7 linked regions of the Cricetulus griseus genome follow. The protein of the gene in region 5 interacts with the protein of the main gene of each other region in a pairwise test. Links are inferred from orthologs where the notes say so. Each region holds a gene or a part of one and is shown on either strand. Other genes may lie near its edges. The genes, in order: Cntnap2, Mapkbp1, Tcea2, Chrd, Meox2, Igfn1 and Oit3.

The links.
Region 1: the proteins of Meox2 (region 5) and Cntnap2 interact in binary tests that used the Homo sapiens proteins (3 or more experiments, as listed by UniProt). The link is inferred for Cricetulus griseus from reciprocal best matches to the Homo sapiens genes MEOX2 and CNTNAP2.
Region 2: the proteins of Meox2 (region 5) and Mapkbp1 interact in binary tests that used the Homo sapiens proteins (3 or more experiments, as listed by UniProt). The two-hybrid records come from large-scale screens. The link is inferred for Cricetulus griseus from reciprocal best matches to the Homo sapiens genes MEOX2 and MAPKBP1.
Region 3: the proteins of Meox2 (region 5) and Tcea2 interact in binary tests that used the Homo sapiens proteins (3 or more experiments, as listed by UniProt). The two-hybrid records come from large-scale screens. The link is inferred for Cricetulus griseus from reciprocal best matches to the Homo sapiens genes MEOX2 and TCEA2.
Region 4: the proteins of Meox2 (region 5) and Chrd interact in binary tests that used the Homo sapiens proteins (3 or more experiments, as listed by UniProt). The two-hybrid records come from large-scale screens. The link is inferred for Cricetulus griseus from reciprocal best matches to the Homo sapiens genes MEOX2 and CHRD.
Region 6: the proteins of Meox2 (region 5) and Igfn1 interact in binary tests that used the Homo sapiens proteins (3 or more experiments, as listed by UniProt). The two-hybrid records come from large-scale screens. The link is inferred for Cricetulus griseus from reciprocal best matches to the Homo sapiens genes MEOX2 and IGFN1.
Region 7: the proteins of Meox2 (region 5) and Oit3 interact in binary tests that used the Homo sapiens proteins (3 or more experiments, as listed by UniProt). The two-hybrid records come from large-scale screens. The link is inferred for Cricetulus griseus from reciprocal best matches to the Homo sapiens genes MEOX2 and OIT3.

What each region holds. Positions count from the first base shown.
Region 1 is NW_023276806.1:224,133,265-224,136,764, forward strand, and holds part of Cntnap2 (contactin-associated protein-like 2), read right to left. Parts: intron 1,219-3,500; coding exon 1,108-1,218; intron 1-1,107. UniProt on the Homo sapiens protein: Required for gap junction formation. Required, with CNTNAP1, for radial and longitudinal organization of myelinated axons.
Region 2 is NC_048599.1:58,519,701-58,523,948, reverse strand, and holds the start of Mapkbp1 (mitogen-activated protein kinase-binding protein 1), read left to right. Parts: upstream 1-1,448; 5' UTR 1,449-1,940; coding exon 1,941-2,057; intron 2,058-4,248. UniProt on the Homo sapiens protein: Negative regulator of NOD2 function. It down-regulates NOD2-induced processes such as activation of NF-kappa-B signaling, IL8 secretion and antibacterial response. Involved in JNK signaling pathway.
Region 3 is NC_048599.1:221,915-224,313, forward strand, and holds the end of Tcea2 (transcription elongation factor A protein 2), read right to left. Parts: coding exon 2,390-2,399; intron 2,038-2,389; coding exon 1,883-2,037; intron 1,808-1,882; coding exon 1,661-1,807; intron 974-1,660; coding exon 704-973; coding exon of another isoform or gene 691-703; 3' UTR 501-690; downstream 1-500. UniProt on the Homo sapiens protein: Necessary for efficient RNA polymerase II transcription elongation past template-encoded arresting sites.
Region 4 is NC_048597.1:67,916,608-67,920,822, forward strand, and holds the start of Chrd (chordin), read right to left. Parts: upstream 2,801-4,215; coding exon 2,653-2,800; intron 2,482-2,652; coding exon 2,312-2,481; intron 1,931-2,311; coding exon 1,801-1,930; intron 1,667-1,800; coding exon of another isoform or gene 1,661-1,666; coding exon 1,532-1,660; intron 1,447-1,531; coding exon 1,347-1,446; intron 1,243-1,346; coding exon 1,155-1,242; intron 812-1,154; coding exon 670-811; intron 560-669; coding exon 419-559; intron 337-418; coding exon 254-336; intron 180-253; coding exon 32-179; intron 1-31. UniProt on the Homo sapiens protein: Dorsalizing factor. Key developmental protein that dorsalizes early vertebrate embryonic tissues by binding to ventralizing TGF-beta family bone morphogenetic proteins (BMPs) and sequestering them in latent complexes.
Region 5 is NC_048598.1:164,594,808-164,598,946, forward strand, and holds the start of Meox2 (homeobox protein MOX-2), read right to left. Parts: upstream 2,801-4,139; coding exon 2,287-2,800; intron 1-2,286. UniProt on the Homo sapiens protein: Mesodermal transcription factor that plays a key role in somitogenesis and somitogenesis and limb muscle differentiation. Required during limb development for normal appendicular muscle formation and for the normal regulation of myogenic genes.
Region 6 is NC_048598.1:53,315,175-53,318,674, reverse strand, and holds part of Igfn1 (immunoglobulin-like and fibronectin type III domain-containing protein 1), read right to left. Parts: intron 2,870-3,500; coding exon 2,567-2,869; intron 1,756-2,566; coding exon 1,667-1,755; intron 1-1,666.
Region 7 is NW_023276807.1:1,838,580-1,842,079, reverse strand, and holds part of Oit3 (oncoprotein-induced transcript 3 protein), read right to left. Parts: coding exon 3,302-3,500; intron 2,569-3,301; coding exon 2,461-2,568; intron 1-2,460.

The sequences.
Region 1 (3,500 bases), on a different chromosome or scaffold from region 5:
GCCTGTAGAACAGTTACTTTTCACTATTCTGAGCTCTGCGGGAAGACAGAGGAGAAACACTGAAAATCATGCACTTAAGAGAGGAAAGGAAAATGAGCAAGCTTAAAGATGTAGAAAAGTAAAGTGTGGAAAAGGCCATGGTAGTTGTTAGAGAGATCAGTTTCATCAAGGAGAATCCTCAGTCTTCAGTGGCATGAGGGAAGATTCAACCAACTCAAGGATCCATCTTGTGAAAATGCAGATTTATTTGAAAGGGGAGAGTCTGGATGGGATTTGCTACTTAGAGATTATTACGTATGGAAGTCATTTCCTAGCTTCACCAGTGAAAGCACAGAAGCCACCAAAGTATGGTGGTAGGGTGCCAAGGACATTTTCAGTTTGCACTTAGCTTGCCAGGATCATCATTGGAATGCTGATACCGTGGGTGTACAATGTGAAAGGATTGGAAACTTGTAACAATATTCCAGAAAATTCCATAGAGCAAGCAAGGTGTGTCAGGGTTGGAGTCTCTGCAAGGAAGCCATAAGAAGATATTGCAAGTAGCTGCTTGAGTGAAGCTGAGTTGATGGAAAACTGAGGATGTTGCAGCTGCAGGAACTCATGGGATGCCTGCTGAGAAAACGAAGTGATGGAGTGCATTCCGAAGACCAAGACTAAGCCTCATAGTAGGCATAAGCCTGAAGCCAACTGCTACCTGTGATCCAGAATAGGACAGGAATACTCAGGGATACTGGAACCAAGGTGAATTCACCAGTATTTCCAGAGTCTATAAATAGAAAGACACAACTAATTTTTATACACTTCTAAAAACAAATATTCCTTCTAAACACTTGGGAAATTATTATACTTTTTTATCCTACTTTTGCAGCAGAAACCATGTGTATAAATATCATAGAAAATCTGGGAATTTCCAATGTAGTTTTACCTATATACATAGATACTTAATTGGGAGTCATTTTTTTAAGTTATGGTATTTGTATGTCATCTAGATTGACTGGCAATCAGGAGCTTACATGATTGGTAATACTGGTTGTGCTGATGCATATGTCAGTCATCAAATACAAGCATAGCATGTGGCTAACCACAAAGGAATCAGATGCTGCTCACCTCCTCGTTTGTTGATCTTGGCGTAGCCAGGGGAATAGCTGCTGGACAGGGAAGAAGAGCTGCTGAAGGACACGTGGGGAAGACCAGAGATGAGCGGCTCGTCACATTTTTCTGGAAAAAAAGAAGAGACAGAGAAAGCTAAATTTGCTAAATCTCTTTATAAAATGGTTAGTTTGTGTTTATTAACATAACTACCAATGGGAGGGAAACATGGATTAGTTGTTAAAACCTCTTGCTGATCCTGCAGGGGACCTGGTTTCAATGTCTAACATTTACATGGGGTAAGTCACAACCATCTCTAGCTACAGGTCCAGGAAATCTGATGCTCATGGCAGGCAAATGTGTATGTACACACACACACACACACACACACACACACACACACACTAAAATAACTACTTAATATAGTACAGACTTTAAAACCCACCAAAACATACCCTTTACCAATGATCACAATTTACGTATCTCAGTTGTACCCATTGTGATAAACTACAGAAGCAGTTTTAATCATCCTGATGTAATAATCAGAAGCAACAGCATTGCCCCAAGAGGGCCACAACTCCATTTCAGTCTTGAAGGATCACAGGGAGAATCCGGAATCCAGTTATTTCATTACTAGCTTTTGTACGTGGCATTACCTAGATATGATCAGGGTATTTGCGAATCACAGAGAGAAGACAGGAAACAAGGAAATTTCAAGACGTGAGATTAGAAAGAAATTTACTAAGAGGACCCAAAGCCAGAGAGTTGAAATCACTAATCAACATGTGTAATTTTAGTTGCACAGGATGAATAAGATCTGGAGGTTAGATGTATCACATTGAGCCTGCAGATGATAATACTGTCTTAGGTACCTAAATATTTGAGATAGAAGGTCTTGTGTAAAATGTTCTTACTAATGAGGTAAAGAAATAACTGATCACAATGGAGAACAAGAATAACAGTCAACATGGAAAAGAGTACCATCTAAAAATTTACGATTTTCTGCCTTGAAGCTATCTGTAGAACTTTGTCCACATGGCTTTTCAATGGCACCAAAATTTTTAAATGTCATTTCTTCTTAAATGTTTCTTTTTATGTATATTTCTTAATCTCCTAATTTATAAATCTTCCCAGTGTTCAGGCCTCCTCTGTTTGTTCTCCTCCCTGCAGGAGAGTACCTCCAGTGCTAACCTGTCACACCGGACATTGCTGACTCCTGATTCTTACCTCCAGGGCAGCAGACCTAATACAAGGAGTCGGCAGCAGCTGCTGTCATAAAGCTGCTCAGCTACCCCACTGACCATCTTGCTCTTTTAGCATCTTCTGTCTACAGTAGAGGAAATGTATCCCCACAAAAAATTTCACTGTGAGGCTGGAGCTGCTAGAGAATTTTTAGTCACAATTTTTATTATTAAAATTATTGTAAACAATTAGAATAATCACACTAAAATTAACCTAACCCAAAGGATCTACAACGCCATGAATGTCTCTACAGTTAGAATAGTCATTTGGAGCAAATGCTGTGGAACTTCACATTAGATTTTACCCTTTCAGTGTTGATTGCATTTTATTTTCTTAACGACTATCAAAACAAAATAAAAAATTGTGATAGAATGAAGATTAGAAAAAAATTAGCTTTATAGCCTCTTTCATATCTCCATGACAGTCTGTTCTTCCTCATCACCTCACACAATCACATAAAGAAAATAAAAAGAAAAACAACATAAACTACCTGCTATCTCCAATACATAGACTCTAGTGAAAAGTACATGTAAATATGTCTATGTAACTACATGTCCATATAAGCCAAAACACATATGGATCCAGTAAAACAAGAAGAAAAGAAGGAAGGCTATGTATAAATTTTGGCAATCAATATAGAATTTTTCATGTTATATCATTGAGAAATTAGATTTTTAAAACAAACTTCATATACCCAAAATCCTTATACATCTGACCCACTGACAAGTATAATTGTATATATGTGAATTTTCTCAGAGGTATTGTAGTATCCTTAAGAGAAGTAAGAAATGTAACAACATTCCAAATGTTTTCATTTTAACCTCATATATGTAATATATCTGAATATATATATATATATATATATATATATATATATATATATATATGATTAGTGAGATAATGAATAACCATTGATTGCACTAGAGTCACTGGGGACCCAGCTCCACCCAGGTGAATGTTCATGGCGAAGTCAGAAGTCGGAGTGTGCTCTGGCATCTGCTTCCAATCACTTGGAATGATGTTTAAAGTCCTTTGGAGCCTACAGTGGCTCACTCACCTCCTTCTTTACCACTGACTAGATGCAATGACTCCTGTCCTCTTCTTTCAGTGGCAAGCCACCTCCTGCTTGGAGACTTCACATTTGCTATCCCAAATGTTCCCTGGTACAC
Region 2 (4,248 bases), on a different chromosome or scaffold from region 5:
CTATATAGTACCCAGGAACCTTCCTGTTTGAACAGTGCTTGTCCAAGTACCGCTAAACACTGATATTAGGGATCCTTCCCTCTTGCAAACCCACCATCTTCTTCAGGAATTCCCAAAGTCTGAGATGGGAGAGACACGTCAGTGTACTGTTCTACTTCAATACAGGTCTTTGGCTTAAGCTATCCTTTTCAGAAGGCATTTTAAAAAAATGTATATGGGTGGGTGTTTTGCCTATTCTTGTGTCTGTGCATCCATGTGCCTGGTGCCTATGGAGGCCAGGAGAGGGCGACAAATCCCCTGGAATGGTTGTGAGATGCCACTGAGGGGGCTGGTAATTAAACCTGAGTCTTCTGGAAAAGAAGCCAGTGCTCTGATTCATCTGTCCAGTGGCCCCCACCCGCAGGTAATTTCTTGAGGTAGTAACTAGATAGGAAATTCTAGAACTTCTAAAAATAAACAGACATGTCATATCTGTGAAGCATGAGTATGTATATCTCTCCTATCTCCATGAACTAGGGAGGAAAAAAAAAACCTGATAGCAGCAAGCTTGATATCGGTGTCAGCCCTGGGGGTGTTTGCAAATCTTGACAAGGCTGAGCAAAGATTTGGAGTGGCAAAATACCGTTAATGCTGTGAATCAAATGCTGTAAGGATGTTGGCAGCTAAGGAAATGATGGATGATAAAGGTGCACTCATTTACTTTTCTCTGTTTGCAGCCTACCTAAGGCTCCATTGGAGGCTTGGGTCTTCCATCCTTAACAGGTTCAGTTCAAAAGTGTGTGTTTCGTTACTCCACGTGAGTCATTGTGTTAGGCTGGCCGTAATCACAAACTATTCCAACCGTGTTAAATCCCAGCACTTGGAGTGGAAAGGAGTTCTTTTGGCTGCATCCCAACCTTTTTTTTTTTTTTTTTTTTTTTTTTAATGAGTTAGGAATTAAATTTCAGCCGTGGTCTCAGGCCTACCAAATACCAACCTTAGGCTTGGGGGCGTGGCTATCGTCTTGATCTGGGAAGTTCTCTGGGGGACCAGGCTTGATAATACCGTAAAAGGCCTGGTTCTCTCAATTCTAAAGCCATGTTATGCTGACCTTCCTTTAAGAGCGGTACCCACAATTATACCGTGCAGAATCCCGAGCCCTCTGCTTCCACGGTTCATTCTTTGGCTCCGCCCCCAGAGGCAACGCTCCTCCAGTCAGGAACCGATCTGCCGCAGACCGCACCCCCTTCGCCTAGGCCCCGCCTCCCAGCGCAGCTCGGCCCAGGCTCTAGTTCGCGTTTTGAGCCGCTGGTGCCACCATAGCTTCTGCTGCTGCGGCTGCTGCGGCGGGGCTGAAGCCGCCGAACGTGATCCCCGAGGGCGCTGTGAGCTGGGCCCGAGCGAACGGGGGCGCTGACGAGTATTAGGGGCTTTTGGAGCGGGCGGGGTGGGGGGAAGCTGGAAACGAGCTCCCAAGGCCAGGGTGGGGGAGGGAGGCTCCTGTATCAGATCCGGTCAGCACGAGCCCCGGCTGCCAGCATAGAGCCCCGGCCCCCTGCGGACCGTTCGGGTGGCTTAGGCGGCCTCCTCCCTTGGACACCGCAGTTACCATGGGAACACGGGCTGTAACCGGCGCCAAGCCCTTCTAGAGCCCATCCCATTCTTCAGTTAAACGCCTCTCGCTGGCGTGGGCCTGACATTTCTTTACTCTAGAGGGTCGTCCTCTCTTTCTAAGAAATCTAGCAGGCTAGGGTGGGGATGAGGAGTGAGAAAGGACAGGGCAATGCCCAGAGTAAGACCGGCTGACAGGCAGAAGACACCTACTGTGATGCCAAGATTGCTTCTGCCATCTCAGGCCAGTGAAAGTGTATATCCGAAGGCCCTGTTAAGCGAGAAGGCAGTACCACGGTTGAGACAAGTCCTAAGTCTAGGCCAGGGACTGTCCTTAGGGGCTCCTCGTTATGATGGCTGGGGAAGGGTCAACCATTACCAGCCGCATCAAGAACTTGCTGCGGTCCCCATCCATCAAATTACGCAGAAGTAAAACAGGAAACCGGCGAGAAGACCTCAGCTCCAAGGTGAGTCCTACTGGGAGCCACCTCTCCAACTCTTCCCTCTCTTGTACCTGTTCCCTTTCCACCTTTCTCTTTCTTGGGGCGGGGGGGGGGGAAGATAATGAAATTCCTCTGTTGGCTCTAAAAGATCAGATGTGCTTCTCTATGACTGCCTGATCTGAAGTTGGAAGAACAGCAGTAGGCGTGGGCGTGCTTGCTGAAACTCTGCCGTGGGAAGAAGTGTATAGGACCTCAGTTCAAACCGCGTGCTTGGGGAAGCTAGTTGACGCGCTATGACTCAGTTTCTCTTCGTGGAAGAGGACAGTGCGATCACATATTTGTGACTAATGTGGATGCATTAGTGTAACAGTTGGGGTTATGCCATACTATGCTTGCAAAAAGAAACATACTAAAACACTTCATTTGAGACATCAAAACAATGTTATGACGGGCTTGGTGATGCATGTCTGTAATCCTAGTACTAGGGAGTCAGAGGCAAGTTCAGCCTGGTCTATATAACAAGTTCCAGCCCAGCCAGGGCTACATAGTGAGACTCTATCCTATCTAAAAAAGACTAAGACGATTGGGCTAGGCTCAACTGGTAAAGACACTTGTCAATAAGCATGATCCTTTGACCCACAAGATGGCTCAACTGGTAAAGACACTTGTCAACAAGCATGGTCCTTTGACTTACAAGATGGAAAAAAGTAAACCAACTCTTGGGAGTAGTTCTCTGACTCCCACACATGGATGCACACATGAACACCCACAAAGAAATAAATATAAATTTTTATCTTGGGGTGGGAGGGTTTGAGACAGGGTTTCTCTATGGCTTTGGAAGCTGTCCTGGAACTAGCTCTTGTAGACCAGGCAGGTCTCTAACTCACAGAGATCCGCCTGCCTTTGCCTCCCTCCTGAGTGCTGGGATTAAAGGCCTGTGCCACCACCGCCTGGCTAAATTTTTATCTCTTTAAGAGACCTAGGTTTATTTAACAGGAGCTTCTTGGTTTCTCATGAAAACATGGAGCCAAATGTGTTTGAGAAAGACATCTTTCCTAGTTTGCGATTGTACACTGCTTATCCTGGTTACCATATGCCAGCATCTTCCATTCTTACACTTGTCTGGGGTTGGGTTTTTTATTGGTTTTTGGTTTTGTTTTGTTTCAAGACAGAGCCTTGTTACATAGTCCTATCTGGGTTCAAACTGTACAAATTCCTGCCAGAGTGTCCTGAGTGTTGCCATTCTGGCATGCCCAGCTTATGCTTTATTCAGCTTTGCTGGTCCCCACAATTTTGGGCATACAAAAGAAGAATACATTCATTTAATCCCTTGAGGGAATCTTGAGCATTATTCCCACAGGATCAAATTAGGTTTTGTGTCTTATTAGTAGCCTGTAACCACAATAGCTTTGTGTGGTACAGGATTGCTAAGGACAGAGTCCTTTGAGACAGCAGCATTTTATTGCCTTGACTGTGACTCTTTAGAGATGAGCAAACCTGTTGAGGAAAGACTTAGAGTTTAATGTACAATGTGGCAGAGTTCTTGGAGGACTTACCGAGTTCCTTAACAGAGCTGTAATTGGCTTTGGTAAGGTGAACAGCTTTCTTGTATATTCTAGCAGGGATTCTATTGAATTAAAATTTGCCACATGTTTTTATGGTGGTGGAATTACGGCCCCTTTCAAGCACTCTTACTAACAATTGTCCTATTCTCTAGAGGCAAAGAATGAGCCCTCCAACTTAGAAACTCTTAGATACAACTCTGCTTGTCCATTTTTTTTTTTTTTTTTTTTTTTTTTTTGAGACAGGGTTTCTCTGTGTAGCTTTGGAGCCTATCCTGGCACTCGCTCTGGAGACCAGGCTGGCCTCGAACTCACAGAGATCCGCCTGCCTCTGCCTCCCAAGTGCTGGGATTAAAGGCATGCGCCACCAACGCCCAGCCCTTTTTTTCTCTTTTATTTATCATTATTGTATCGTGATGTGTTGGTGCAGGTGCGCATGTACCGTGGTGTTGTGGAGGTCAAAATGGCAAGCACTTTTACCTGCCAAGCCACTTGGCTGGCCATAAAGATGTTCAAGCTGCCCTCCAACACCTGATCCTCCTACCTCTGCCTTATGGGCATATCCTAACTGGCATGGACCACCACAACAGGCACCTCTGCTGATTCATATCAGTACTATTAGACATATCTTCTCTTATCTTTGGGTTCTTTTC
Region 3 (2,399 bases), on a different chromosome or scaffold from region 5:
TTCCTAGAGGCTAGGAGGGACAAAGCTGATGATGTGGCCTCCTCAGAGTAGCTAGGCACAATGTCATTTTCATCTTAGGAGTCCAATAAAGCAAAGCACCCACTACTTTGATCCTCCAAGTTGCTGGGAGTTTCAGCAATTTGAAGCTAGAATTGATCTCAGTCCAGAGACCATCCTCCCCCATGTGGTGAGCAGAGTGAAGGACTGAGCAAAATATCCTGAAAGGACACCAGGTCCTTGGACTGCCATGTCTAGTGAGGAGGGGTGAACACTGGGCAAGGTCCTGTTCTAACAAGTCTCATATGCCACTGCCCATACAGCCAGCATGGTAGGACACATATAAGCAGTATATCCTAGAATCACATGTCAAGTGATCTCTCTGGAAAACAGACATGCTCTTGCCTATATTGCCCTACCACAACTTAGTTCAAGTGTTGTCTGAGCCCAGGGAGGAGAGGTGTTTAAAGGAATGGAAGAACAAGACCCAACTGAAGCCTGTGTATAGCTCACCAGGAGCAGAGCCAGAGAAAGGCAAAAGAAAACATTTAATGAGAGACAAAGGGCAAAAAGGTGCATGGCAGGCAGGCAGACTGGGACAGAGCATGCCACCTTCTGGGGATCTCCAGAGAAGCTGTGTCCACCAAGAACATTGCAGGAGGGGGCAATGCTAGCCATGGCCAGGACAACACATCAGTACAAGGGATCAGCAGAACTGCAGGAAGGCAGAGAATATCTGACCAAGGCCCCACATGACCCCTAGGGCAGAAATGGGACAGGCATGGGGCTCCATCCCAGAGACTCCCAGGAGGCTAGCTGGGTACAGTGGGCCCTGGTTCCTACTTAAGGTCCAATATGTGCTGAGACAGGACTGGAGGTGAGCATTCTGGGCCCACCCACCTACCTTCCAGCGGTTCCCACACTCGTTGCAGACAACATAAGTGGTCATGGGCTCATCGGAGCTGCGGGTCTGCACCTGTAGGGTGGGTGGCTGAATCCCTGGTTTTGCTGCCCTGATCTGGACAGTCCTGGTTTCATACCCCCTGATCTCTACTGATGACTTGATTTGAAACTTCCCAGTGACCTCTCAACCTTCTAGAACTGGGCCTGTGGAGGAGGTGGATCACCACAAGAGACTTTTGTGGGCCTGAACAACTGGGATCAGTAGAGTAGAATGTTGGATAAGTGCAAGATTCCCAACAAGAGGGTCTATATAGTGACCCTCTATAGAGTCAGCAGAGATGCCAGTGGCCCTGGCCATCTAGGAGACCCAAGGAAAAAACCTTACTTCACAGAGCTAGGGCCAGTCCTTACAGGTAGTGAGGACTGAGTGGCCCTGCCCCTCATGCCCTATTATAGATGATGACAGCTTCCACAAGCCCTGGAACAGTCTACCAGAGAGACCATCTTAATCCACTCCCCTCTTGGAGTCTACATGGTCTCCCCAGAATACTTCAGCCTCTACCTCCACAGCAGGGTCTGAAGGTAACTACAGACACTAACAAACAATACTACACTCCTGTCTCTCCATGCTGGTCAGGGCCAAGCCACCTAGCCCTGGCACAGGTCCCCAGACCAGCAGAAGTAGGGACATAGGTGGTATCCAAGAAGAGGATGGGTATACCCTGAGGTCCCAGCCAAGGAAGATAGAGTGGACCCCAACCTGCGTGTAGGTGCAGTTCTTCTTCTTGCACTTGCTGCAGGTGAACAGGTCAGTCTGTGTGCCACCTGTGCGGGCCATCTGATGCTCACGGATGGCCTCCTTGGTCATGGCCTTGCGGATCTCCTTCAGCTCATCACTGGCCATCTCCTGATAAAGGGGCCAAGTGTTCAGCCTGCAACTCTGCAGAAACAGCCTGCCCCAGCCCTTCCCAGTGGGGCTCACCTCTGATGTCATCACAGCTATCTGCTGGGGTGTAATGGCACCACACAGCACGTTTCGCCGCAGGCCAGGGTTCTTGGCATCTTTCAGGTTGGAGATCCGGCTCCGCACGCGGTTCTTGTACTTCATATCTGTGTTTCCCACATCCAGGAAGATGCGTAAGGGTATTTAAGGACCCATCTGAGGTTTCTGAGCTCCATCCCCTCCTTGGAGTCACATGAGAAATGTTCTTCCCAGCAACATGGAGATGAGTTTACCCACCCAAGCCCTTTGGAGGAACTGAGGGGCCATCATATTGTGCTTTCTCTAAACCCATTCCTGTTTGAGGCCCAGATCTATCAAGTAGTCACAGCCCCTTACCCATCTATGGCCCAGGAAAGGTCAGGGGATCACCCCAAGAGGGCACTGGATAACCTACCAGTGTTATCTAACAGCTACTGGAGAAGCACAACTCTGGCCTACAGACTCTACCAGAAGCCTTTAACCCTGTATACACTGTGTAAAGGATATACTCCTCGAT
Region 4 (4,215 bases), on a different chromosome or scaffold from region 5:
GCCCACAGCGCCGAGCCCCACCCTGCCTCACCGTCACAGCTCCGCCTGGCGGTAATGTATCCGCTGATGCGTAGCTCTGGCCCACCTGCCCTCTCTAGGACCATCTGCAGCTCCCCCAGCACCAGCCAGTCCATCTCTTGGTCTGTCAGGCTGGGCAGCACCTCAGCAAAACCTGGCTCCTGGGAACAGAGCGGAATGTGGTGGACAACAAGAGGCCAGAGCAAGCAGCAGCAAGACCCAGGCCTCCCCTTACCTCAGCTGAGGTGTTGGCCTGGAGCTCTCGGAGTGGCTGTCCCTGGTGGAGAATCTGAAGCCTCAGGGGAACCTGAGCGGGACCTGCAAGGGCTGCACATGTGAGCATTTCTGAAAGTTGAGCTCCCTCCCTATACTCTCACCGGACGCCTTCTCACCTGCTTACCTTCATTCCTGGGTCCCAGCAGACCCCGGAAGAGCAACAAAAAATGTAAGGAGTCTTCTGTGTCACTGAGGGTGAGCAGGGCTATGCCCCCTACACCCCGATGCTGTGGGCCTTCCAGAGTAAGGGTGGCACTGAAGGTCTCTGGGGAATGGAGGGCATGACAGCCATCAGAGGAGCCTCTCGTGAGTCCACCCACCCCTGGATAGAGAAGGCTCAGTCTTTTCTATCTGGGAACTCTTCACTCTTCCTACCTGCAGCCAGAGCACCTTGCCAAATGAGAGGCCCCCAGACTTCTCCTGAAGGGTGAGTGGGTGTCACCAGGGCTACATGCAGCTGTTCTGCCCTCAGGAGCCTCTGAGATAGCCGAGGCATTGCACGCCACACCCCACAAACCTACAGCAAAGAGACAAGGAAGTCTACAGTCACTATGCAGGACAAGCCAGCTAAGAGGCCCAGTCCTGGTGAGGGAGGAGTATGGAAGGGAGACCCCAGACCCTCCTAAAAAGGACCCAGGATCCTTGAGTTCAAGTCCTGGCTTACCACTTGCTAGCCAAATGACCTTGAACAAATCACATTCTGCTATTCTGAGCCTCAGTTCCCTCCTCTGTAAAATGGGCATCATAATGTCAGGGCCTTTCTCCCACTGGGCTGTTGTGAGAACCAAAGGAGGCAATGCCAACCATGCTCTCAGCAAGTGCCCATTTTGGATAAGTACACGTAAGTGGCATCATCTCACCAGGCCATCCTGGGTGGGGGCAGCAGGGTGTTCAAACAGGATGTTGCCGGTGGGATCTGTGAACCGAACCCGGCTGGGGCGGTCCAGCCTGTGAAGAAAGGTCCAGTGAGACTGGATCCAGAACCCGCAGTCTTCCCCCTTTCATGCCCCCATTCACTACTCCTAGCCGCGCTGCTCTTTCCCTGGTCTCACCGCTGGTAGGAGATAGAGAAGCGAAGACTTGAGCGCAGGAGAGAGACTCGAGCGCGAGCTACCGCCTGCGACCTCGGTCCTGTCAGCAGCGCCACAAAATCTGTGAGAAGAGAGGATGGCCTAAGCACTGTCAACCCTTGCCGCTGGCCCCAAACTTCGTCAGGCCCACTTCCACCCCAGCCTACCCGTGTGGCCATCAGCACGTGTCCGCTCGCCAGCGCCGGGATCCCCTCGATCGCTGTAACTGCGGTGCTCTGGGTCCCTTGGATACTCGAAGACTAGGCCAGCTGGCTGTCGGTCCAAATTGCTGCGCTCTGCGTTGGGGGGGGTAAGGAATAAGACCACTAGATTCAGCAGGGTACCAGGAGGGCCAGTCCTCCTCAGCGATCCAAGCCGCACAGAACCTAGTGTTGAGCCTTCCACCCTCCCTAACACGGGAGACAGTGGGCCTCACCCTGCGGGCAGGTCTGGCAGCAGTGTCCTGGCAGCTGGCGCGGCTGCCTGCAGGCCAGGGTGGGGCACTGGGGTTTGATGTTCTTGCAGCTGACCCTGCCAGGGCCCCTCCCACGGCGAGCCCACTGAGGCTGATGGCAGAGAACACAGGGAAATTAAGTGAGTGTAACGTGCAACCATCAGACGCCAGGGTAAGGTCCTCTGCTGGAATCAGTCAGCTCCGCTATTTACAAGTTACATGACCCTGGACAAGTTTCTTAACTTCTCTAAGTCTGCAAAGTAAGGCTAATTAATGCCATTTATCTAGCAAGGTTGCAATGGGATGGGGGAAGTTGGCTAAAAGCCAGTCACATAGTGGGCGATCAATAACTGTCAACACCGCAGACTTGAAAGGGGTTTCCCCAGATTTGAGGACCAGCCTTCCCCTGAGCATCTCCGAGGCTACTACGGCTTAGGACGCCAGCGTTCCGCTACCCTCTAGGGTAGGGCGGGCAGCTGCGGTATCCACTCACCGCTTCACAGGCGCACAGCACGCAGCGCATCACCCCAAAAGGCTCCCCCAGGTCCGGGTGCCACGTCTCGTCCAAGGCATAGACCTTCCCGCCGAAGGAGCAGCCTGTGGGGACGGGCTTGGCTGGCGGCCGCTGTCCGGTTGCTCGTGCCGTAATGCCTGCTCCGAGCTCTGCCCGCCAGGCCCTGGGTCCCTTGGCACCGTTGCGCCCCGCCGCCTCTGCTTACCCCTCCCGCCCTCCCGCTGCGCCGAGCCACCTGCGCCCGGGGCCCTGTCCCGGTGGGTGCAGACTTGCCCCGAGCCAGACTCCCCGCCCGCGCCTCCCCCCTGGAGCCCACCTACCTGCCGCTCCCCGAACAGGCAGCGGCTCCTTCTCAGGACGGATGGGCAGCGCGGGGGACTCGGGGCCAGTGCCACCGGCCGGCCGCGAGCCGAGGAGCAGCAGCCCGAGGAGCAGCCGCGGGGCCGGCGGGGCCGGGAGGCTCGGCATGACGCGGAGCGGACAGCTGGGGAGGCGGGCGGGAGGAGGGAGCAGGAGAGGGAGTAGGGCCGGACCGGAGGCGGGCCGGCGGGAGGGGGCCGGGGCCAGGAGGGGGGCAGTGGCGAGGGGCTCGTCTCGCAGTCGCGGAGTCCGCTCCCGGCCGGGCGGGGCGGGAGAGCTCGGGCGGCTGGGCGCTGACCCGGGCCGTACGCCGCTGTAGTGCCCTAGGCGCTGGCTCCGGCCCGTTTTATGCCCGCGCCAGGAGTCCCGGCCCGGGGCCTCCTCCTCAGCAAACGGGGCGCGGCGGCGGCTCCGCAAGGAGCCCGGCTGAGCCCGGGGGGTCCGGCCCAGCAGCAGCGGCCGGATCGCGAGTGGGGGAGGGGGACAGGCTGGGACCCGGCAGGGGAGGAGGGAGGGACTGGAGGAGGGGGGAGCGGAGTGGGCAGGGGGAAGGGAGGAACCAGGGGGCGCAAAGGGGGGGAGGAGAGGCGGGCTTCGACACCCCCACACACACTCCTTGCGGCCACCCCTGTGGTATCCATCCAGAGAGACAGGAGCCTCAAGCTAAGTGAAAGGGCAGAGGCTGGGCCTCCGGCCTGTACCACTCATGGGCAGGATGGGCCCTGGAGGATGAGGACTTGTCTTTGAAAAGGACAACGATCTTCCCTGTCTAAGACCCAGGGCACCCTCCTCCTTTCACTCAGGCTGTATTCCTCTTTCCCTTCTAGGGTCTCTTCTCTTTCTGGAGTTCCCAGGCACAGGGACCAAGCCAGAATCAAGAAATGCTCCCCGCACCCAGTGGAGTAATAACCTCCCCCTTGTAACCTGTTCACAAGTCCATCCAACCATCACCTGGCTTTCCCACCCTTTCCTTCATCCAAGGGACCACTCTTTTTCCTCTCCTTTGTCCTGCCTCCCCATCTCCTCCACCCCCACCATTCTCACAACCATCCCAGCACCCGGCTTCCTAATCTTAGGAGGCATCTCTTCTGATTGAACTAGAGAATTCCGGGATCTGGGCCATACTCCTTAGTGGACAGCCCATCTTCAGAGCAGGCACAGGAGAAACCCTGAGGAAGAACAAGGGCAGAGCACAAGGTCAGGCCAGGAGATCCCTGAGGACAGAGACCGTGGGGAGACAGGCACTGAGGAGAAAGCACCGGAGCTAGAGCCAGGACCAAGGCAAGAAAGAGAAGAGCCAGCAGAGTTATTTGTGGGGGAGGCTCAGCAGCTGTCTCTCCTAAGACGGGGACAGATGGGCCTGGTTATTTCTCTTGTCACATGTATAGTGGTAGGAACGGGAGAGGGCCATTGGGCAACCAAGGGCAGGCTTACAAACAGAGCTGTGTGGTTAGTTGTTCAGGTCCCTGTGCCCCTTGTAGAAGAAAGGCATCTGAGTCCAGTCAATCTGTCTGGTTTTCCTT
Region 5 (4,139 bases):
GGCTTATGCGTTGATAAAAGAACAGTATTATAACTATTTTCTATGTTACTTTATCCTCTAGTAAGTCAAAATGTTTACACAAGAGTATCAGATGACTTGATCTTCAGTTGAATGTTCACTGAAAAAGGCGATAGATGGCTTGGAGTTAAACTTACCTATGATCTAATCGATGTTAACTCAGAGATTGAACATATAGATTTTATTTTCAAAGTGTACCAAGACAACTGATGCTTGCCTGTGATGGCCTATCAATGGAAACATTCTTTCTACGTTGGTCCCCATGATAGTATCCTTGCTAATGATCATACTTCCCGTTCTTGTCAAGCGTTACTACACCCCCGGTTGACACAAATTTCTATTCTGTTTGCTTGTTTCTATGTTCTAAAATGAGATTCACAACATGAAAACAAGCTTCCCTTTGCTGTGTGGTTATTTTCCATCGGTAAATGTGATGGAAACGACTGTTAGTCAATTTTAAGTCGGTTTTTATGAAAATAACTTAAGGATGTAAATTTTTTAGTCCTACTCTCCATTTCTGCAACTAAAAATAACTGTGGCCCAACAAAAACTCCTTCGAGTGCATAAATAATCTTTAGGGCATTGATTCAGCTAAGAAGCTGGCCATGGTTTCCCCTTGCAGAAAGAAAAAGTGCTTCTGGCTCTTGCTGTGGTAGCTACCAACCTGCTGAGGCCATCCAAGCACTCCAGTTCATAAATGCCCAGCCTGGGGAACCCCAGTGCATTCTAACGTTTTCACTGGTATCTTTTCAATAGCTTAGAATTTCCTATGTAGTTAAAGATAACCACTGCAAATCAATGACAGTGCTGGTAAATTGCTTAGACACAGCTAATCATTGTGGAGCATTAAAAAGTCATCCCCGACCTAGGAAAATAAAAGTTCAACCATCAGGTTGGTAAGGGTCACCCCACAAGGAGGCCAAGAAAAGTTTCTGTCATTTTTCAACATGATTTAAAATACACAGCAGTTACTGCCATACACTGCAGAACACCTGGACTAAATTGCCTAACATGCTACATTCTTTTCCATTATTTCCAATGCCCAGATTCACATTTCCTAAATCTCCATAGACTAACACAAAAGATTAAATAGATGCAAACTTTTTTTTTTTTTAGTTAAGTGACATCTTCCAAAGTATGTACCCAGGTTGCCATGTTCCTTCAGAGCAAGATGCAATTAAAAAGGAGGAGGAGGAGGGGATGAAGAAGGAGAAGAAAAAGAGAAACATCTTAATAATGAGAACTATAGCTAAGGGCGTTATGTGCTGTCTAGAAACTCAGTTTCTCTGAACTGCCACAATGCACTTGCTACTGAACTTTCAGGCCCTGGAAACCACTGGGGAGAAACCTTTGCTTTAGCTGCTCAAGTAATCCACACTTTCGCTGTTCACTCTGCTGCATCTTCTCCCACCACTGTCCGAGCTGCTCTTGTGCTCTCCGGAGCATCTCAAAACTCTACTCAAACAAGGAAGGCTTTTACTTTCCACTTTCGAAGTTCAGGGATTTTTTTGTTTGTTTTGTTTTTGTTTGTTTTTTTCCCATAGGATAGCCTCACCTGAGTCTAATCAAGAATGACCTTTCTTCAAATCCTCATCCATTTATTTATTCACGATTTTTAGATGTATTTCTTGAATACTTCTAGATTTCTAGATAGTGCCTTTTTCGGCAAATAAGTTAAATGCTTTTTAAAATTATTACTATTTTAAGTAGAATGCTATTTACGGAACTCTGAAAGCGAAACGTTAAAAAAAGAAAAAAATAAAACTTTTCTTTCGAGTATTTTGTCAAATCCCAGTTAAAGTTCAAGATATTGAGCAATAGTCTAGAAATCCAGTTAAGGATGGGAAAACTCGAGCTGTTCAGAATTGGGAAATTGTAAGGGAAAAACCAAGAAGCGCATGCATGCACACAGGCATGAACGCCCAGCCGATGCAACATCCCAAGGCTCACACCCCTCCCAACTCGTGGATGGAGCGCCATGCTCCTTAACCGATTTCGCATACTGTCACTCGCTCTTTTTTCACCGCCGCTGGAAAACTAGTTTATGGTCTTGTAGGGCTTTGAAGGGGCTGGACGTAGATATATTAACCTCAGCGAAACACGTGCTCCCAAATTACAGGGCCGAAGCTGCAAGGACGAATTCGGCCAGGCCACTGAGACTGGAAGAGCTAGGTATTCCTTAGTTTGTCTGTGAGAACCTTCTCGCAAATCCCTGCCCCTTCCCAGCCCAGGGAACACTCTCCTTAGAGGTGCTCTGCCCGCACTCACCTGAGCTGTCGCTTTTCCTCTTGCTGCCACTTCTCTTTTCTACATCCGCGGGTGACAGCGCTTGGCGGCCATAGTCCCCTGGTGCGCACGCGGCCCCGGTCGGGGTGCTGGAACCCAGACTGGATGAGTTGGAACACAGGACCGGAGGGCTGTTCCCCAGCTCCGGAGGCCCTCCCGAGTCGGGCTGCAGGCACAGGCTGTGCCGAGCCGCGCTAGGCGGGGAGGACATCTGCGGGAGGTGCCAGTTGCTCTGCAGAGCCTGGTGCTGCTGCTGCTGGTGGTGGTGATGGTGGTGATGGTGGTGGTGGTGGTGCCCCCTGTGATGCTGGCTGGCAAACATGCTCTCCTCGTTGGGGTATCCCGCGATTATGCAAGACGAGGAAGATGTGGAGAGTTCGGGGTAGGACATGTGGTCAGATCTTCCATGGAGGGCCAGAGAAGACTGCGAGAAAGGGTGCAAGCCTTGTGCTGTGGCGTGCGGGCTGCGCAGGCAGCCAAAGAGGGGGTGTTCCATGGCATGCAAGTCTGGACTTCCAGGCAGAAGACTTCACGATGGTCCCAAAGGCCACCAAGCTCTGTGACTTTTCACTGGAAATCCTAGAACTCTTTTTTCCCCCCACACTCACACACTCCCTAAGAGTCGCGCCTTTGAGCAGAGCTGGCTAATCCCAGTCCAGAGCCTTAGCGGCCAGTCTCCTGCACATATAAACACTGGGACCTGGAGGAGCTTCCCTCGCAGCTGCTCAGATGTCAAATGTGGGAGAGGTGGAAGCCAAAAGAAGGTGGTCCCAGAGAACTGCTTTCACGGGGGGGAAATGGCTCAGAGAGGTTATAAATAGAGTGTAATGTGAGCTGGGGGCTGGCTTAGGAGCCCAGAGCTGACCACATGCAAACTCTCTCCAAAACTCCCGCTCACTCAGCGCCACCATGCTCTCTCATTTCCAGTTCCCAACTGCTGGCAGGACAGGAGCGGCTGCTCCACGCCCGCCCGGCCCTGGGAGCTTCCACGACAGCCAGTGGAGAGTCCAGAGCCTTAATAAGCAGGGCCACCTCGATCTGTCCCATAGGCTCCCAATGGCCAGGCGCGCACCCACTCTCAGTCTCGCTAAGCCAGCACCAAGTGTCCCGTCCCGAGTCTCTTTCAGCTCTTGGTGGGGGTAGGGGTGGGAGTCACCTGCAGGAGCTCCGGAACTGCTCCCTGACCTTGCGGACCAGGAGAACTTATGAGAATTCAAGAGAAGGGAAAAGGCTAGAGCAGTCTAGCTTTTCAAACTCCGATACTCGCAGTTCCCGCGCCCGGGAGCGCAACATGGTTTTCCCCTTTCAGTTGTCTGAGGATAGGTTGTTAAAGATAAAATAAAATAAAATAAAATAAAATAAAACTGATGCCAGGTTGGAAGTTTCAGGGCTGTGCCCCAATGATAGCATAAAGCTGTTCTAAGTGCGGAAAAGAAAGGTACCTGGTTGAGTGAGGGATGGAAAGCTTGAAGCAGAGATGGACTCAATTTCTGATGCCCTGGCATCACACAAGTGCTGCTCCAACTTGTGTCTCTTTCCTCCTTTTTCAGACCCTCCTCCCACCTCTCTTTACTAGTCCAGCTCGCTCAATTTCCTAACCATTAGCTCACCGAAAGTTTTCCTAGGTCAGTGATAATCTGAAGCAATGTCAAATGAAATGTGCTCCCAGTTTAACTCTTTAGGAGCCAATCGACAGCCCCCTCTAATCCTTCCGGACAAACATTGTCTTTTTCTGTCTGAGGTGCTCTTTTCACCCTTTCTGTTTCTCACCGCTTGTCTGTTGTAAGCAGACACCACACTGAACACTCTCCAGTTCTCTCTGCTAGGACTGTTCA
Region 6 (3,500 bases), about 110 Mb from region 5:
ACGCAGACATCTAGATTTCACTCTGAGGGTGCTGCCACTGTTAGATGTTCCCGGGATGGTACAGCTGGTTCTGATTCACATTTGTACTGGGTGCAAATGAAAAGAGACTAATCTGGAAGGGGTATTCCCTCCCCAGTGCCCAAGGCAGATGACTTGGAAATCTCTGCAATAGAAGAAAGCTGCAGGAAGTAGATTATGCAGCCTAGCCTAGAACTGTAACTGTCAAAGAGAGGAGAGTGGCAGGTTTAGGAAAGGAGCTGACATGAAATTTCCCTTCAGCTTAATTAGGAAAGAGACCTTCCCCATCACAAGGGTCATGATCAAAAGCATTAAGAGGGACAATACCTTATACCAGAGGCAGCATGGTGGGCCTTGAGGTTAGAGAGCATTAGAAGCATTGTGAGAACATATAAGTCTTATAAAATATATAGATTTATGATAATTAAGACTGAGCTAGCAGATGAGAAATCCTAGTCATTGGCCAAGCAGCAGCATTTGTACCTAATATAAATCTCTGTGTCTTACTTGGGACCATAACGTGGCGGCAGGTAGAACTTAGGCAGCCTGGCAGAAAGCGCCCATGTGGCAGCAGGGCTCAGGCAGCTTGGCAGAAAGACTTATTGTTACAAAACGGAAAGACAGGGAACATTCGGAGAGACAGCTTAAAGTGAGAGTAGGAGAGTCAACCACCAAGGTCAGCATGATGAGACGACATCCTAGAGAAATCCTCACCAGGACATGGTCTATGCTTTCTTTCTGTCTTTGGGGACCTGGCTTGCTTTCCCCTCTACCTTGAGGTCTGTGCATTCACAGAAAGAGCTGTCAGCTCTTTGTCTCAAGAGCCAAAGTGCAGGGTGGCATGGCCCAACTTCTCCAGGTTGTATATCTGACGTCATAGAGGATCTTAAGTGTCAGGTCTAGGATCTAAGTCCCTCCAGGTGGAGGATGACAATGCTGCCAACTGCCTGTGGGACCCCTGTCTTGAGCACTTGGGAATGCTACTATACCCATGGGAGTGTTCCGAGGGTTCAGGCATTAACCACACGTGGAAAGCACAGAGAACAGGCCCAGGTTACTGCTATCACTTTCTCAGCCTTTTGGTCAGCTCAGGGGAGAGATGGAACACTCAACACCATCTGAGAGATGAGGAAATTTAAATACAGAGAGGGTTAGGTATTGTCCAGAGACAAACTAGTGACTGATGATGACATGGGACAGTTCATATTTTTTTTAACTACTACCTTAGTTACTATGCATGGAGTCAGGTGGTGTTGATAGTGGCTTAGTATCACTTGCACAAAAATATATCCTAAAGGCAAAAATGGTTATCTATCCTAAGGGCTCCCTCAGTCCCCAGACTTAGATGAACGATGGGGGAGGAGAGGGGGTGCTCTAATTTGGAGGTGCAGTATTAGAAGCTACCACTAGAGGGGTGTGTGCCCTGTACAGGAAAGTAGAATGGAGTTCAAAAAGCCAAATGCCAGCTGTGGCTTCAACAACCATTTTCCTTCCTACCACTTCACACTGGGCTGATTTCTGAGACAAGCCCAAGTCTATGACTAGGGCTAAAAAAGAACGAGGAAGAAAGGATACCCCGAGATTGTCTAATTTCCTGGTTGCTCTGGGGCCCCCATGTCCTGCCACACACTCTTCCAGGTATACTCACTTCAAAGGAGACAGGAACTCGAATGCTGTCTCCAACCCTGATCATCACTGTATCCTTTGTGCTGGAATCCATGAAGAACTTGGGACAAACTAGAATACACAAAATGGCTTGTCACCTCTCTTCACAGTTGGCTTCTAGCTCAGGTTACCCTGCATGCAGATTGAAGGCTAAGCCAGTGTAATGGTCTGATGGAGAAAACTTGGAAGGGCACACTGGGGAGAAAGGCCAGGAGCTGACAGGGACAGTCTTTTGAGAGGGTCAGAAGTAGAGACAAGGCTACTATCAGGGAAGGTGAAGGTTAGTCTGGAGCAAGGATCCCGGGGACAGCTACGTTTTTATTTGAAGGTGAGAGCACCATTAACCCCCAGTCAGAGAGTGACCTTCCTGGTTGCATCAAGTAAGGGACAAAGCCAGAACAAGAGTCTAAGATTCTGGACTCGGGAGCTCTGTGCTTTTCATTGTAATTGTCTCCTTATTGCCACTGTGACAACTAGAGCGAGTTGGTACAGCTCAAAAAGACAGGGGATTTGCTTCTAGCAATTAAGGCCCAAAGGGAAACACAATCCACCCCGCAATAACAGGGAGCTTGGGCATGTGCTGGCTTAAGTTAAGCAGTGCCTGTGCCTTGGAGTCACTTGTTTTAAATCCTAATTCTGTATCCTAACAATGGTGATGTCTCGGGTAAAGCATCTTGGACCTTGTTTCCATCTCTGTAAATTGGGGATCAAGAATATTAACCATGTAGGAAGGGAGCTATCTTGAGAAAGCATTCCTAAGAGGGGTCCACTTAGCTCAGTGATGGATGCCATTCCTCGGTTAAGAAGGCAGATGATGGCTGCATAACAGTGCTTCTCAGGAAGGATCTTTAGCACTCAGGATGGGGAAGGAGGTGACACTCACCAGTAGCAGGCATGGCATGGACCACTGAGTCCAAGGAAGTGGCCTCGCCAGGGCCCCCATCATTAACTGCTGTCACCCGCACAAAATAGCCTTCTTGGGGCCGTAGTCCCTTGGCTGTGAAGGTGGTGCCCTGCACAGTGCCTGTGTGGCATGGGCTCCACTGAAGGCTGTCTGAGCCACGCAACTCCACAATAAACCCCTGGGCTTCATCATCATCTTGGGTGTCCGGCCTCATCCAGCTCAGGGTGATGCTGGTGTTAGATGTGTCTGTAACCCGGAGATCCCGAACAGGCCCTGGAGGTCCTGACAAGCACCATGGAAATTTCAGGAATGTGTCAGCTTCCCCTGAGGAGTCCTCCTGCCAGGGACTTGAGAGTTCTTTCACTTAGGTGTTTCTTTAGAACCTACCTAGAACTGGCATTGTATCCCAGCTATATGTGAGTCCCTGGTTACCTCCTCTACTCACCCATCAACTTGCCAACCCCTAACCATCCTCCTGTAACCCTTGACAACTGGTATTTTAGTTGATAATCTTTTTATAAGATTTTATTTATTATGTATACAACATTCTGCTTCCATGTATATCTGCACACCAGAAGAGGTCTTCAGATCTCATCATGGGGTTGCTGGGAATTGAACTCAGGATCTCTGGAAGAACAGTCAGTGCTCTTAACCTCTGAGCCATCTCTCCAGCCCCTAGTTAATAATCTTTTGTGCTCCATTGTGTCTGGGGACTGGAGTTCTATGTCTGTATGCTGAATTGTAACTCTTGGTTGGGAACAACAACACAGATTTTTTGTTGTTCATTTGTTAAATGGGAACAACAGTAGCTCGACCTACCATGGGGGCCCTGGAACAAGCAGAAGGCATGACGTGTGTGATTTGAATGTAACACTGCAGGGTGGTGTTCTGGCTGTCAAGGTTAGCTGCACAT
Region 7 (3,500 bases), on a different chromosome or scaffold from region 5:
TAACAAGAGGGACTAATACATATTTTGATAAAATTGAGAGTAGAATTCTGCCACAAGTAGCAATTAGGAGGCTCCCAGCTGGAGGCCCAAAGGAGAGAGATACACAGGTGCAAACAGTGGAGACCCTGGGCCAGTCTGAAGCGTGGATTTACACTTCCCATTCACTGGGGACGTAGATCTTCATCCGAGAAACTGATACGCAATTGACCTGAACTTCTTCAGACACATTCGGGAAACTGCTCTAGAATAGAGCATCCTTGGAGCTGGAAGGAAGGGTGGAAAGCCACAGGAAACCCCTAATGCTAGATGAGGGTTTCACATAAAACACTGCAGACAGTTCACAATGACAGAGGACAGGCAAGATAATGGGGAGGCCTTGAACTGGTAGTAAAAGAACAATCTAGAAATCCATACAAGCATCTTTTTAAACTAGAAAAAAGAAAGAAAGAAAGGAAGGAAGGAAGAAAGGAAGGAAGGAAGAAAGGAAGGAAGGAAGAAAGGAAGGAAGGAAGGAAAGAGGAAAGAAAGGGAACTAAATAAATCACAACTGCAAAGAAGCCAACATTTACAGCTTGCAGAAGTAAAAAGCTACAGTAGATGAGATGAGAGACTCATATAGTCCGGGATGGCCTAGAGTGCACTATGCAGAAGAGGCTGGCCTTGAACTCCTGATCTTCCTTTTCCAAAAGTGCTGGGATTCCACTGTGTGCCGCCATACCTACCTAGAGTAGGATCATAACTTCACTGCACTACCTACACCAGGAAGGGCAGGAGGCCAGCAGCTCCCTGACAGCAGGTGTGGCCACACCCAGGCTAGCACTTCCTTCAGGCCTCCATGGCAAGCCTGGGCTGTTACCCTTGGACTGCGTCTTCTTTTTCTTTCGTTAATGTGAGGAAGAAATTAACATGGGACTATTACTTTTAGCCATCGTAGGAATCTTGACCACCAGCAATTCCACCTGCATGTTTACACCCTAGAGAAAAGGTCACACACGGCGTGAGGTGTGATTTGTATGTTAACATGTAGGCTAATTCTGTATGATATAGTGTGGTGCATCCACACAGCAATAATAAAACCTAGTGACAGGGTGGGAAGGAAGCAGGCTGACGTTCGAGCAGCAGCCAGCCCTAGGGGTGATCGAGTCCAGCAAGATGGCCTCGTTTGAACATCAAAATTCTATTTTCACTTAAAAAAAAAAAAGGAAAGTTACATCTGGGTACATGTGTATCTGCATTGCTATTTTCTTACTCCCTTCCCTTCTGCCTGAAAAATCTAATTAAAAAATAATTCAAATTGGCCGGGCCATGGTGGCACACACCTTTAGTCCCAGCACTCAGGAGGCAGAGGCAGGAGGATCTCTGTGAGTCTGAGACCAGCCTGGTCTATAAGAGCTAGTTCCAGGACAGGCTCCAAAGCTACAGAGAAACCCTGTCTCGAAAAAACAAACAAACAAACAAATAAATAAAATTGTTGGGCTGTTTCAGTGGGTAAAAGCGCTTGCTGCCAAGCCTGACCATCTTGGTGGAAAGAGAGAACCAATTCTTGCAAGTTGTCCTTTACCTAGCATATACACAGTAAATAAGTGATAACAAAAGTTTAAAATTGCTTCATTTACATGAAAACTAAATATAAACTAAAATTGACCTGTGTACATACACACAGAAATCTGCCTACATCATTTCTCTGAAGTTCATAGCCTGGTCTACAGAGTGAGTTCCAGGACAGCCAAGGCTACACAAAGAAAGCTTGTCTCGAAAATATATATATATGTATTATATATATATATATATATATAATATATATATATGCATTTTTATATCTACCTGAAGGAAATATGCGTAAGAAAATAATACATGTTTTTGGAATCTACTTTGAAATGACTTTGGATGTCATTTCAATTTGGATGTCAAATTTTCCAGGCTTTCTTTTATTTTTTATTTTTATTTATTTATTTATTTATTTATTTATTTAGACAGTCTTTTCTATGTAGCTCAGGTTTGTCTTGAACTCACCATTTTCCTGCCTCAGCCTCCTCAGCACCAAAGTTACAGGAATGCACCACACCTTAATGGCTGCCAATATTCAGCAGAAACATTTAATCTGTATTTACAGTTAGTAAAAACAGACAAAATATAGTCATTTGGGTTATCCCAGGCATTTTTTTATTTGCCAATCAAAAGCCAGTTTTTATATTAAAATTTAGTTTAATTAAGATTTAGGTCCTCAGGCAAGCTGGCCATTTTTCAGTGGCTCTATAGCTACAAGGACCAGTGGTCACTTGAGCCGACACTGAGGTTTCAGACTGCCCCTGGTCACACCATGAGATTGTAATGACTTTAGTTGTGTCTAACAATGACTAGCTCAATTGCAAATGCTCAGAGACTAAGTGGGATGGCAGCAGGGCCTTGCTTTGTTTCTTCGTCCTGAGGGCTCATTTCCACTTTGTGAGTAGCTCTTACCAAAGCATGTCTGTCCGTCTGGGCCTATCGAGGTTCCTGGAGAGCATGTACACTCAGGAGTATCCGCACAGCTGCCATGGCAATCCTCATCACAGATGTCATAAAAATCTATGGAAGGATAATTACCTTCTGTGAGTAGGGAGGCTCAGGTGACCCTCTCTTTTGAGTGGCACATGAATGCAGCCACAGGCTCCAAGTTCTCAGAACACCATTCCGACATTTCTTATGGGTCAGGCTGCATCACCCAGTGGAGGGAGATGAGCAGCACAGGGCAGCTTTTGTCCATTCAGATAACCGACTCCTAGCTAGAGTGGGAGTGGGCCCACTGGTGGCCAGAGGACTTCCACAAATTAAAAACATGAGCGCATATGAGCTAGGGACTAAGGGCGAGGTCATGCTCCACTGTGGACTCTCTAAAACGTTCGCAGGAGCTGGGGACACTGGCTTCTGTGAGGTCTTGGGTTTGGGCTCTTCCATCAAGGATGTTAACAAAGCCTCCAGATTTTGATGGAGATAGTGACATAAAAATTCACTTAAAGGTATTATTGATGTCACATTGCCTCTCCCCATTGTATGTTATTTCTGAAAAAGCAATGACTGTGAGCACCATGTGGATGTCTGGGCATCTATCTGTCCACCTGATCATGTGTCAACAGGTAGGTCACAGAGGGCTCTTCTGTACTCAGATAGTTGGAGATCCATCACTTCTAACTTTATAATGTTTGAATGAATAAACATGAAATAAATCTGGGTTACAATGACTGGGATTCATATGGTGCATTTCTCTTTAACTCTATCTGTGGCCTTGTTGGGGAAGGAAGAAAGCAGGGAAGGTACTTACGGCCACAGTAGACGTGGAAGCAGACGCTGGGCTTGGCCAGCCGATAAACATAGTAGCCTCCAGGGCAGGCCTTGACTTCCACCGTGGTGTTCCACAGACAGCAGTTCCCTTTGAAGCTGGCACAGGCCTGGCGTTGCACAATGCCATCACTTTCTAGGGGGTGGCTGCCATTGAGCCAGACGGGTGCGTGGGTCCCACA